Arabidopsis thaliana: one gene and its partner. The protein of the gene in region 1 interacts with the protein of each later gene in a pairwise test. Each region holds a gene or a part of one and is shown in the gene's direction. Other genes may lie near its edges. The genes, in order: AT5G17410 and ATN1.

Region 1 (7,871 bases):
AACAAACTTGCTCCAGTACACAAAAATCAAATAGGCCTTTCTTGGATTATTGATATAACAATGTTACTGCACAAGAACTATGAACAATTTTCCCTATCTTCTGCTGGTTCAATCGGTTAATGATTCCGAGATTCTGTTAATTAACACAATACATTGGAAAGCAAGTGAGACTTCTTGGTGTTTACTAACCTTCTCTTTTTGAGCTCAGCTTTCATTGTCATCGTTTCGGGTTTGGTCCAAAACTACTGAACCCAATGCTTATAAGCAATCTGGTGAAGCTGATCATATCCCGCAAGCACTCCTGCTCCTGCTACTCCAAGAAGCATGTTCGCAGTAACTCCTCTATATAGCGCATAGAACCCTTCCGACTTCAATATCTCTCTTAAGGCATGAATGGTGTTCCGGTATTTAACAGGTTGTCCTGATGTAAGCATCATTCTCCTCCTAAGTGTGTCAAAAGGGTAAGCAATGACGCCTGCAGAGGTAGTAATACTCCAACCCAATAGAAAACTAGCCAAGAAGTTTCCCTGTCACGGAATCAAAGAACCATTTTTAGCTATTTTCTGCTATAGATTAAGAAATAATAACGGCATACATAGATGACATTACCTCTAAGGAACCGACTAACACAATGGGTTTGATGGTGTCGTACATCCCAAAATACATTCCTCGGTAAAGAGTGATTCCCACTATTGACACACCAAATCCACGGTAAAGACCTTTAATACCGTCACTTGACAAAGTTTTACGATACACATCGATCATCCCTTTAAACTGTCTCTTGCCATTAACAGAACATTCCTTTGCATCAGTGCCTAAACGGGTCCGCGCATAATCCAAATGGTACAGAAACAAGGAAGTTGTTGCTCCAGCAGCACTTCCCGAAGCTACATTTCCAGCAAACCACTTCAAGTAACCATCTTTCTCTTTCGAACATCCAAGAAGGTTCTTGAAGTAACCTTTAAATGCAAAGTTGGAAGCCTAAAAGCAATTAAATTTAGTGACAATAAGAATCTAACACAAACCTCAGCACGCTGATCTAAAGTAAGGGTTCTTGGAATGTAGTACCTGTGTAGGGAAATATCGTATGACATTGGCTTGGTTTCCTCTCCAAAAGGACAAAACACCTTCTTCTCTATAGATTCTGGTAAAGCAATTACCCAAACCAGTGTAAGGTCTTATGAGATGTCCAGTCTTTATCATCTCCCCTTGATTCTGCAGTAAAAGCTTCACCCTTTCGATTGGAGCAGCTGCAGATTTGGCAACAATGGCTGCAGCACCACCCATCACAAAATCAGCAGAGAATCTCTCGGATTTTCCGATCAAAGCCATCCTCTTTTCCCTCACCTAATTCTATACCAATAAATATAGAGATGTTATGGGCAAGAGTTTCTTCTGGGTTCTAGAAATATCAAATCCTAAAGCTAAAAAGGAACAAAATTTGATAATAAAAGGAAAGGTTTTGAAGTGAAAAACCTGGAGATTGCTAATTGATTCTCCGCCGCAGAGAGAAGAACTCGGCGGCGAAAGATTGATTTCCAGGTCGAGGAGGAGAAGAAGAGGAGGCGATTTCGTTATTTCGTTTTGAGAAGCCAATAAAATAGAAAAGAGATAATCATTTTCTGTGAATTTCAAAGCTGGAGGTGGAGGACAGGGCAGGAGCAATGGCTGGTTTTTTCTTTCTTTACTTAAAAAAATGGTTTTGTCCTTTTTTAATTTCGAATTTGAAACCAGGATCTGGAAATTTCTGGTTCAATTAAAACCGGACATTTTAAGGAAAACCGGAGATGGTTCGGTATATGGTGACTGTCTGACTGATCTGTGTCTTCTTTTTCATAAAGGTTTAAACTTTTAGTTCCAGAGACTGGGAGCGAAGCAATGGAATCAATGACGCCAATCTCGTGCCCTACGACTCCTCGTTGGAACCAAGACAGACCATTTCTCACTGGTCGCTTCCATCAGGTGCTCGATCTTCAGATGTGCTTGATTTTAGTTCTCTAATTCGTTCAAATTCTATTTAATTGTGAACATTGGTAACTTCTGAGAAAAAGTAGTTTTGACAATGGGTTTATCTCAGGAAACGAGGGCAAGCTCCAAGTTTGCTGATTCTAAGAGGTTTACTTTAGACTCGTCTAGGTATTTTGAAATTTTATACTAAAAATTAGTAATACATCTCTGTTTTAACCTCCCAAAGTCTGTTCCTTTTTCATCTTATTCTAAAGAGTCATTGACCTTTATATTTTGCTTTCAGCAGTTCTGGAGTAGAGCAGGCAATTGGCTGCTATGACACACCGGTTCAGGTTTGTGTTATTTTACAAAGCAAGTCTGTCCCTTTTTTTCTTGGCTTCCACTTATTCTGTGAGATTGTTATTATGTAACCTTGAAACTAGTGTTGGGGTCCTTAAAGCTTGGGTTTGAGTTGTGTAGTTTTTACAAGTTGGCATCATTGTAGGTGAAGTTGGTTTCTCGTTTTCGTGGCATAGACTAGGATAATTGACCTGAGCTAAACAATTGTGGAACTTCCTAGCCTAGGTTTAGAATTGGTGTCACCTCTTTTGTTATGTCCATTTCAGTAACTGTTTTTTATTCCTTTTGGCATGCAGGAGCTTATCGTCATTGATGATCTCTTATCTGCGTTGGTTGGAATTGAAGGGAGATATATTTCAATTAAAAGATTCCATGGGAAGGAGGATAGTATAGCTTTCCAAGTTGATCCATCAATGGATTTGGCACTACAGGTAAGTAGTACTCAACACAATAACTTTTGGTTCCTATCCCAAACATTTTTATCATGATGGTCTACAGTAGTCAACTGCAAAAAATCTGTGATTTCTAACCATGCTTGATCTGTTCTTTCTTAGAGCTACCGGAATTAGTGCATATGTATCATGTATGTACAAAGTCTTTCACATATTGAGACTGTTACAGTGATGTTTGCAAAGTGTATATTTATGTTTATGAAACTTGATGCATTTCATTGGTGTTCTGACTTCTTGAAAGTTCAATTATCTCCGAAGTCCAATAAAATGGACACATGCATTACTATGTTATGTCTAGGATGGTTCTCTCTTTTGAATAGGATTTTTAGAGATGTTATAACGGATTAACATTGTAATTCTTTATTTAATTGGCTCTTCTCATATATATTGACCGTTGCAAATAATTTTGCAGGAATTGGCGAAAAGAATATTTCCTTTATGTGAATATTATCTGCTGATTGACCAATTTGTGGAGTCAAGCTCGCAGTTCAAGAACGGGCTAGTTAACCATGCATTCGCGGCTGCACTCAGGGCACTCCTCCTTGTATGTGATATAGGTTGCTAGCTTTGTGGAAATTGTGATCCATTGTTTGTTGAGTTATTTTTCGTTCCCTTTCTGTTACAGATGGGGGATTTTGCGAACTGGATATGGATTTTTTTAACTAATAGTCAAGTTTGGGGATTTACTCAGTAAACTAAAAATATGAACTTGGAAAGCTCATTTTAGAATGCTCTTAGTTTGTTTATTGGGTTTCTTTCTTGTCCACTGAATTGGTGTTTTTTTATCACATTTCTGAGTGTGTGTATATGCATATGTATGAATATCTAAGATGACACATATAGCTCTTACTGTCTTCTTTGTTCCAAGTTCTTACTGTCTCTCTAATCCCTCTCTTACTATTGCCGCATTGAATAAACTGATAGTCTGATTCTTTTCTTTCCATTTCACATCTTGAGTTTCGTGTCTAACACATGTCATGCATTTTTTGGACTGAGGATATCATTTTATGTTAGCTTTGAGGTAATTTGACAACATTCTTTGCTATTGTTACACTAGTATTAACCATCCTCTCTTTTACCAGGATTATCAAGCCATGGTGGCACAATTGGAACATCAATTTCGACTTGGAAGACTTTCTATCCAAGGATTATGGTTTTACTGTCAGGTCTGTCTTTCTTCAAATAATCCAAGCTACAAGTTACGTAAACATTATGCTGATCGATTGTTTTTCGTATCTCTCAGCCCATGATGGGATCCATGCGCGCATTGGCTGCAGTAATTCAGCAGGCTTCAACGAAGCAGTTTGTGGGTTCTGGTGTTCTTAATCTCTTGCAAAGTCAGGTAGATTCCTGCTTTGGTCATTAAAAGTTTTTGGATTTTTTTGGTACTAGAATTAGCTTTTTTATTAAATGTCCTAATCTTGAAGACTATCATGCCTAGGCTAAAGCGATGGCTGGTGATAATTCAGTGAGGTCATTGTTAGAGAAAATGACGGAGTGTGCAAGCAACGCATACCTAAGCATATTGGAAAGGTTGATTACCATGCCTCTTTCTTTCTTGCTCGTAACTAGACTCCCATAAAAAAAACATTGTGCTACAATCTCTGCCCTTTCCCTTTTGTTATTGCTTGGAATGCTCAGATAAATCTAAGTCCAACCTGTGACTATGTTTTTCCTTTGTTTGGATGGAGTGATTAGCGAACATGTTTGTTATCTTTTGGTTTGGCAGATCTGTACATGGTTACCCTATTTGCTAGATCGCTTATATTATTATTCTTTGATGTGTCAACTAACTTTAAATAGTGTTTAATTAAGGTGGGTCTATGAAGGGATCATTGATGATCCGTATGGGGAATTTTTCATTGCCGAGAACAGGTCTCTCAAAAAGGTACTTCGATTGCTCAGCTCGTCTGCACTATTGTTAATTGCTTGATCTAACAATGTCAATTTTTTTTTGTACAGGAGAGCCTCAGTCAGGACTCTACAGCTAAATATTGGAGCCAAAGATACAGCCTTAAGGATACTATTCCTGGCTTCCTAGCAAACATTGCTGCAACAATATTGACCACAGGGAAATATCTAAACGTTATGAGAGAATGTGGGCACAATGTTCAGGTATGATTGTGAATGAATTTCCTGTTTATTAATACAATTAACAGTGTTTGTGACACTGGACCCGACATTGGCTGATTTTTTTTAACAGGTTCCCATATCAGAGAGATCTAAGTTAACAATATTTGGGTCAAATCATCATTATCTTGAATGCATAAAGGCTGCTCACGAATTTGCCAGTATAGAGCTTGTGAATCTCATCAAGGATAAGGTAATACTTATTTTGTTTTATGATGACTGCTTCTTTGATGTCGTTCCTCGTCAATACACCTCTCTGACCATCAGTATATGATTCAGTATGACCTTGTTGGAAGGCTTCGATCTATAAAGCACTATCTTCTTCTCGACCAGGTATGCTGGTTCTGTTCATGAATAACCAGTTATCTTCAGAGTTCTTCAGAATTTCCTAGGCACAAATTTATCAATGTGAAAAGTCTGTTGTTGAGTTGTTTTCTTCAGTCATTGATTTTGGTATAACAATGTAATGAACTACAGGGTGATTTCTTGGTTCATTTTATGGACATTGCTCGAGAGGAGCTCAACAAAAAAGTGCATGAAATATCTGTTGAAAAGTTGCAGGTACTTTTTTCCCCTTTAGAGCATGATTCAAAATATTAGACAAAGCTTCTTACCATTATTAAATCGTTATGGCCTCTACTTGTTTGCTGGAATCTAAATGGATGTGTATTATTTAGTCTTTGCTAGATCTTGCTCTACGTACCACAGCGGCTGCAGCAGATCCTCGTCACGAAGACTTGACTTGTTGTGTGGTGAGCAGTTAATTTGTCTTTTCCTGGATGTGATGAATTTACAGAGTTTGTACATTATATGTTCTCACTTTGTATTCATATCTTAGGATCGAGCTTCATTGCTTACGACTTTGGGAATGCACAAGGACACTGATAGCAATAGTATTGAGGACCCAATGAGCATCACTGGTCTAGAGACATTTTCCTTGAGCTACAAGGTCTGCTCCTTTCTTGCCTTGTCTGCAACTACCTGTTTGTATCTGGATTCGAACTATTTTGTTCGTCGAGATATATATAAGTAATAACACAGCTTAATGGCTATTAATGGTTGTTATATATAACTACTAATGCATTTCTAGAGTCATCATTCATACTTATATAAGTAATCGACAAATGCATATTCGATTGGCTACTCAATTGTTTGATTGTTGGTTGTGGCTTTGTGTTTCAGGTTCAATGGCCACTATCTATTGTCATATCAAAGAAAGCATTGTCAAAGTACCAGTTAATTTTCCGCTTTCTTTTTCATTGCAAACATGTGGAACGCCAGCTTTGTGGTGCTTGGCAGATACATCAAGTAAGGACTGATATAATATTGTGTAGCTTGTAATTTGTTTCAGTTTTGGTTTCTTCTAAAACCATTTTAATCATTTTGCTTCGCTAACAAACTGCTGTGAAAATTCTACAGGGGATTCGGTCTATGAACTCTAAGGGTACAGCAATTCTTAGATCATCGCTTCTCTGCCGTAGCATGCTTAAATTCATCAGTAGCCTTCTACATTATCTTACATTCGAGGCAAGTCTGAATGTTCTTTTTGTTTTGTTTTGTTTGTTTTTTAAAACATTTTTTTTTGCTAATAGAATGGAATCTGAATATTTTTTTGTTTTTTAAAGATTCTGATTGTCTATTCATAGATCCTGTTTTCCATTGTGATTTTGCGGTGTAAGTCTCTGGAAAACTAACTTCTAGAATTGCTGACATACACTCTGTATATTGAATCCAGATATCTCTGTAGTCGTAAAAACCATACTTACAAATGTAGGCACTTCTTGCAACTGTGTTTTTCGAGAAATACATTCTTGAAAACGTGATTCTGGAGAAATAAGTACACTATCAATGAACAGAGGAGAGAAATCACACCAGAAGTATATAAAGACATAATTCTTTATGAGATGATTTGGTGTTTATTTTAGCAACTATTGCCTCTCTAAGTTTTTCTAATGTTGTTTTTGCTTGTCTTTATGTGGGATGTCTCTTCAGGTTCTCGAACCAAATTGGCATGTAATGCACGATAGACTACAATCCACAAGGAGTGTAGATGAGGTAAGTGTAGAGACCTGCTTTGTTTTGGTTTGCAGGGAAAACATTCTTCATTGAACAATGTGCCATCATCTTGCAGGTGATACAACATCACGACTTTTTTCTTGATAAATGTCTGAGAGGATGCTTGCTTCTTTTACCTGACGTCCTTAAGGTTTGTCGCTGTTCCACTAAATGTTATGTTTTCTCAGGACAGATGTAACAGTGTGATGTGCTTCTCTTTCGTGCAACAAGAGCAAAAATTCTGAACGCACTAATAATAGTGTAATGTTTATCAATATTTTACACTCATATTTACTGATGGTGCAGAAAATGGAGAAGTTGAAATCAGTGTGTCTGCAATATGCTGCAGCCACACAGTGGTTGATATCATCGTCTATCGACATCAATAGCCAGTCTCATCCACAGAAGACAATGATAAGAGACACAACCGTTACAGAGTCCATATTGTAAGTAGTAACAAGGAATTGTTTTTCAAACTAATGGCTACACTATCTCTACAAAAGCCGTTGCTGTTAGAATTTTTGAACTTCATTATCACGGTATTGTTCTAATATGTCTGTTACGTGTTCTACCAGCAATTTCGAAAGGGAGTTCAACTCGGAGTTGCAGAGCTTAGGACCAGTCTTGAGCAAAGGCTCCCAGGCTGAGCCATACTTGACTCATCTCTCCCAGTGGATCCTTGGTGTTTCGAAAGAATAAGAGGTGAGACTTTAACTAAACAAACTCAGGCAATTCAATTTGTTTTTTAATGTTATCAAATGATATTCAGCTTGAGAAGTTGTTATGAGATGTGTGCGTGTGTTTAGGCTTTTGTTGTCGTTTCTTTATTTTGTTTGTGAACTCCACGATATAAGAACAAGTCTCAGGCTCTCTGTTAAAAATTTGCATTCAAGATTTGTGGGTTTTCACTGCAACTACATGTCTCTT
Region 2 (4,814 bases), on another chromosome or scaffold:
TAGAACCATAGTCAACAAGTTTCAGGTTCATACCTTGTCTGATTGCTTATCTTCATTTAACGCTGTGTTTTCAATTGACCAACATTGTTTAACGAAAATAATTTCTATTTCAGAGGCCAGATGAGACTAAGACCCGAGGGTGAGGAAGCTGAGAAAGAGGATGAGCATAAAATCCCAAACGGAAACAGTGTAATGGTGGAAGAACGCGAACCTGTGGAGCAGAAAGGGTTCACAGGAGGTTGTTGCCAAGGTGCAAACGGAGTTTCATGTTGCCAAGAACAAGCTGCAGAGCCAGTCAAGAAAGAAGGATGCATGAAGCTAAACTGGTTGAAATCGATGGGGAAAGAAGAGGTTCTCTTGGGAGCAGCAGTAGTTTCAGCTGTCGCAACCGTTGCCGTGGCTTACAGCATTTACAGAAGGTCAGGTTAAGAACCTGAACCACCCTCCTCTTTTTACACTTTTAAGAAGAAACTTTATTTTTGGTAGCCATATTATAGAAGTAAAGGAAGAAAAGAAAACATGGAGAGGTAATAATCTTTTGGAACTATATAACCATCATTTGGTTTCGGTATGGGCAATGCAGGAATGGGATGTAATCTTGCTTTTGACTCGGTTTAGTTTGGTTTATCTTATTATGTTGTCATTGGAATATATCAATCTTCTCTAGTTTTGAGTATACGTATATGAAATTAGCAGGTGAGGGAGCTACTTATTTTAGTTATACTGGCCCACGCGTTGAGGCAATACAAAAGTCACAGTTAGGAGTTAAGCAAAAAAATGTCATTTAATTTCCCGAGTGGTCGTTTAAAACATGAACTAACTTTTGAGACATGAGAATTCGTTGATTAAGTCAAAATAAACATGTCTTTATCAGTCGTTAATGGAACCTCTAACGTCCATTATCACCTCTAACGATTTTATTAATCAGCTTTCAAATTGTAGACATTTTAAATATCAACTTTGTATGTGACCATTTAAAACATAAATTAAATATTAACTAATATTTGAAAACATGAGAAATTTGTTGACCATACCAAAATAAACATATCATCATAATACTTTAAAGAAACTTATAACATCCGTTAACGAAAGTAGAAACTGGAAATATATAATAAAACCATATATTATTTGGGTCAAACGACACAATTTGGTTTAGTTTCAAGCTTGATTTTGATTATGGGACAATGTTACCATTCAACAAAATTATAAGCAAAGGACCAAAAAAAAGATCAATGAGTAATTCATAATCGACAAAATAATTTTATTGATTAATATAAAAAGAGTATAAAAATGGGTTTGAAAACATGAAAAATAGATATCTGCGAAGGTACACACACAAGGACAGTCGTAAGCTAGGTAAATGGATCCCACCTACCTCATTCTTTTTCACCGACGAGATTTTTCTATTCACATTTCAGTTTTTGGTCTTATTTTAGTTGTTGCTTCACTATTCATATGTTCATTATATCAATGGCTTCTAGTCTTCTTCTAGAAATCGATCTTAATTCTTAAACCACCCACTTAGTTCAATATGTACTATTATTTCTCAATAATACAAAATAGATTACAAATAGTTTTGAATTATGATTGTATTTTTAAGAAGAAGAAAGACACTAAAAAAAAGGATGAAAAAGACCCGTAAGTGTTTTTTCTTAAGAGATAGAGGAGATTTCTGGTCACCTCACCCCTCACTGACGCCTACGCGGAAAAAGCAAACAACTTTCGATTTCTTTACTCCTTTTTTTCCTTCTCTCTCAAAACCCCTAAAATAAGAAACTTCAAAAAAAATAATCATTAACCAAACCAACACGAATCATCAAAATTTTGACCATTTCTCCATCAGTTCCAGTGTCAACTTCAGTTCTTCTTCCCATTCTTCTCTCAAATTCCCATCTTTGCCGTTCAATGTTTTTGTTTTCTTTATGTAGTTGACGAAATTAGGATTTTGATTGTCGTGTTTCTTTCTTTATTCTGTGTTCGGGGAATCCTTTGATAATTTTCTCTCTTTATATTCCACCAAAAAAAAAAGCATCTTTTTTGTTTCTTTATCTATCTGATTGTTGTATAGTTTCTCAATTCCAAAACCAAACAGAATGATTAATCAATCAAAAAGGGCCCAGCTTTGACATATCTCTCTCTTTCTCTCTTTAGCCAACTAGGGTTTTTGTGATTTTTGTTCTGGGGTTGTTGTGGGAAAATGGGATCTGCAAGTGGGTTTTACTCGAACGAAGAGTTTGAATTGGATCCTAAATGGCTTGTTGATCCTCGTCATCTCTTTGTTGGTCCTAAGATCGGTGAAGGTGCTCATGCCAAAGTTTATGAGGGAAAGTAAGCTTTGACTTACAATCTTTATCATCCATATATACTAAGAATCAAAAGTTAAAAGTTGTCTCTTTTTATCTATAATCATTGCTTGCTACAGAAATTTCAAATCTTTGTTTAAGTTTGAAAAAAAAGAACTTAGTCTTGAAAAAAGTTTGACTCTTTGCGTATATGAAGCACAAGAGAATCTTTTATTGTCTGGTTCAGTTACTTATTAGGCTAATTGGTTTAATCTTTCTTTCTAGTATTTATTGAAGCTTATCTGTTTCTGGAGATGCTTGAAGATTGTTGTTTGATGGATTGAAAATGTGTTTTTTGTTTTGTTTAGGTATAGAAACCAAACAGTGGCGATTAAGATTATTAAAAGAGGAGAGTCCCCTGAAGAGATTGCTAAACGAGATAACCGGTTTGCGAGAGAGATTGCTATGTTGTCTAAAGTCCAGCACAAGAATTTAGTCAAGGTTTTTCAATTTTTTCTATCCACCAACTCTGTTCATTTGGCTAATCAGAGAGTATTGGGTTGTAATCAACAACGTTTGGTAATTTGTATAGTTCATTGGAGCGTGCAAAGAACCCATGATGGTTATAGTTACTGAGCTTCTACTAGGCGGTACATTGCGTAAATATCTAGTCAGCTTACGGCCAAAGCGTTTAGACATTCGTTTGGCTGTTGGTTTTGCTCTTGACATTGCTCGTGCAATGGAATGTTTACATTCCCACGGTATCATTCACCGCGATCTTAAACCAGGTAAATGGAAAGAAATCTAAATCCGTGACTTCTAAGTATGTATGGAAAGCTTATGATCTTATTGCATCTGCAGAGAATTTGATCTTATCAGCGGATCATAAGACAGTGAAACTCGCTGATTTCGGTTTAGCTAGAGAAGAATCATTAACCGAGATGATGACCGCAGAGACTGGTACATACCGATGGATGGCCCCCGAGGTAACTATATTACTACTAACCCGGGATTTTTCTTTTCTTTTCGCGGTTGTCTTATCGGACATCTTGGTTAATGAATGATACAGCTCTACAGTACGGTTACGTTAAGGCAAGGAGAGAAGAAACACTATAATCATAAAGTAGATGCTTACAGCTTTGCCATTGTCTTGTGGGAACTTATTCTCAACAAGTTACCATTTGAAGGCATGTCAAATCTACAAGCAGCATATGCTGCTGCATTCAAGGTAATAATTCATCTCTCAATCGGTTCTGAAGCAAAACTGAATTACAAACTAAGACCGAATAGACGAACTCATCATCGACACGAAAAACCAAACCGAAACTTAGATTGAACTCCCTTGTATCTCTGCTGTGGCCTCTCTGCATTTGATCTTTACTTATTTGGAAGATCCTTGGATTCGTGTATCAAAATTTGTCATTTCTTGGTTACCAAATTGATGAATTCAAAGTAATGAAACCGGCATTGTGACTAATTTGTGTTTGTTTTTATGATAGAACTTGAGGCCAAGTGCAGAGGATTTACCAGGAGACTTAGAGATGATTGTAACTTCATGCTGGAAAGAAGATCCTAACGAACGGCCAAATTTCACAGAGATAATTCAAATGCTCCTCCGTTACCTCACCACTGTTTCGGCACCACAGATCATTCCTCCACCGAATCGACGAGTCTTCTCATCAGAAAACATAGTTTTATCACCGGAATCTCCCGGAACTTGCTCTCTGATGTCTGTCAGAGACGGAGACGTTTCTCGTCAGACCGTTAACACTGCTGATTCATCGGAGAAACAAACAAAAGGAAGCTTCTTCTCCTGCTGCTCATAGATGATGTATTTCGTTGTGTAATCTGTAAAGAAAACGAGAGGAAAGTGTTTATGATGGAAAAAAGTATAATGTATTAAGATTAGAAATTTAGATCACAGTCACAAGAAATTGTTCGTGTATAAAAAATATTGAGCCTGAAACATTAATAATGTTTACGTTTTTGCATAAATGTCGAAAAAGAGTTAAATTAAAAACTACGCCGTTGCCGGGGATCGAACCCGGGTCACCCGCGTGACAGGCGGGAATACTTACCACTATACTACAACGACTTTGATGTTCAATCTCTAGAGGTTAAGCATATATATTACAATTTTATTGGATTGTCTTCTAAAACCCTGAAACCCTTGAGAAGATCTCTCTTGTTCGAAAGATTTGCCACTTCGTTTGCAGAAGCGAAATGTTTGTCTCTAGGAGTCTCTCGAGACACTGCTGGAGGACTTGTAAATGGTCTTTATTTTCTCTCCTCCAATCCGATTCCTGTGTTAGGTAACTTCAGATTCTAACTCCATTTCTGATTCTGATTTCTCTCTGATTATTGAGATTTATCCAATACCCATCTCCCAGATTCGTTTAATTCCTCAAAGCTTAAAACTTTATTATCCGATTTTGATCTTGAAGGAATCTGGTTTCGTCATCGAATCCGGTTACGAGCATTGGTAACTCAAGTGAAGGTAATTCGAATTCGTTTCAGCCGTTGATGAATCAA

Evidence for each region.
Region 2: the proteins of AT5G17410 (region 1) and ATN1 interact in a two-hybrid assay, tested with the Arabidopsis thaliana proteins (one large-scale study listed by BioGRID).

Annotation. Positions count from the first base shown.
Region 1 is NC_003076.8:5,728,773-5,736,643, forward strand, and holds the start of AT5G17410 (Spc97 / Spc98 family of spindle pole body (SBP) component), read left to right. Parts: upstream 1-1,837; 5' UTR 1,838-1,878; coding exon 1,879-1,962; intron 1,963-2,077; coding exon 2,078-2,136; intron 2,137-2,251; coding exon 2,252-2,300; intron 2,301-2,603; coding exon 2,604-2,738; intron 2,739-3,171; coding exon 3,172-3,303; intron 3,304-3,841; coding exon 3,842-3,925; intron 3,926-4,002; coding exon 4,003-4,101; intron 4,102-4,200; coding exon 4,201-4,292; intron 4,293-4,574; coding exon 4,575-4,647; intron 4,648-4,721; coding exon 4,722-4,874; intron 4,875-4,962; coding exon 4,963-5,082; intron 5,083-5,168; coding exon 5,169-5,222; intron 5,223-5,366; coding exon 5,367-5,450; intron 5,451-5,566; coding exon 5,567-5,641; intron 5,642-5,727; coding exon 5,728-5,838; intron 5,839-6,071; coding exon 6,072-6,197; intron 6,198-6,308; coding exon 6,309-6,416; exon of another isoform or gene 6,417-6,827; intron 6,828-6,881; coding exon 6,882-6,944; intron 6,945-7,020; coding exon 7,021-7,095; and 5 more. Other genes in the region: ER-ANT1 (endoplasmic reticulum-adenine nucleotide transporter 1), read right to left, coding at 243-527, 610-981, 1,069-1,332. UniProt on the Arabidopsis thaliana protein: Gamma-tubulin complex is necessary for microtubule nucleation at the microtubule organizing centers (MTOCs). Required for the positioning of the gamma-tubulin-containing complex on pre-existing microtubules and for the proper organization of cortical arrays.
Region 2 is NC_003074.8:10,209,891-10,214,704, reverse strand, and holds ATN1 (Protein kinase superfamily protein), read left to right. Parts: upstream 1-1,611; 5' UTR 1,612-2,197; coding exon 2,198-2,328; intron 2,329-2,650; coding exon 2,651-2,783; intron 2,784-2,874; coding exon 2,875-3,070; intron 3,071-3,143; coding exon 3,144-3,268; intron 3,269-3,351; coding exon 3,352-3,510; intron 3,511-3,781; coding exon 3,782-4,108; 3' UTR 4,109-4,288; downstream 4,289-4,814. Other genes in the region: AT3G27570 (Sucrase/ferredoxin-like family protein), read left to right, coding at 114-429; AT3G27550 (RNA-binding CRS1 / YhbY (CRM) domain protein), read left to right, coding at 4,506-4,594, 4,727-4,814.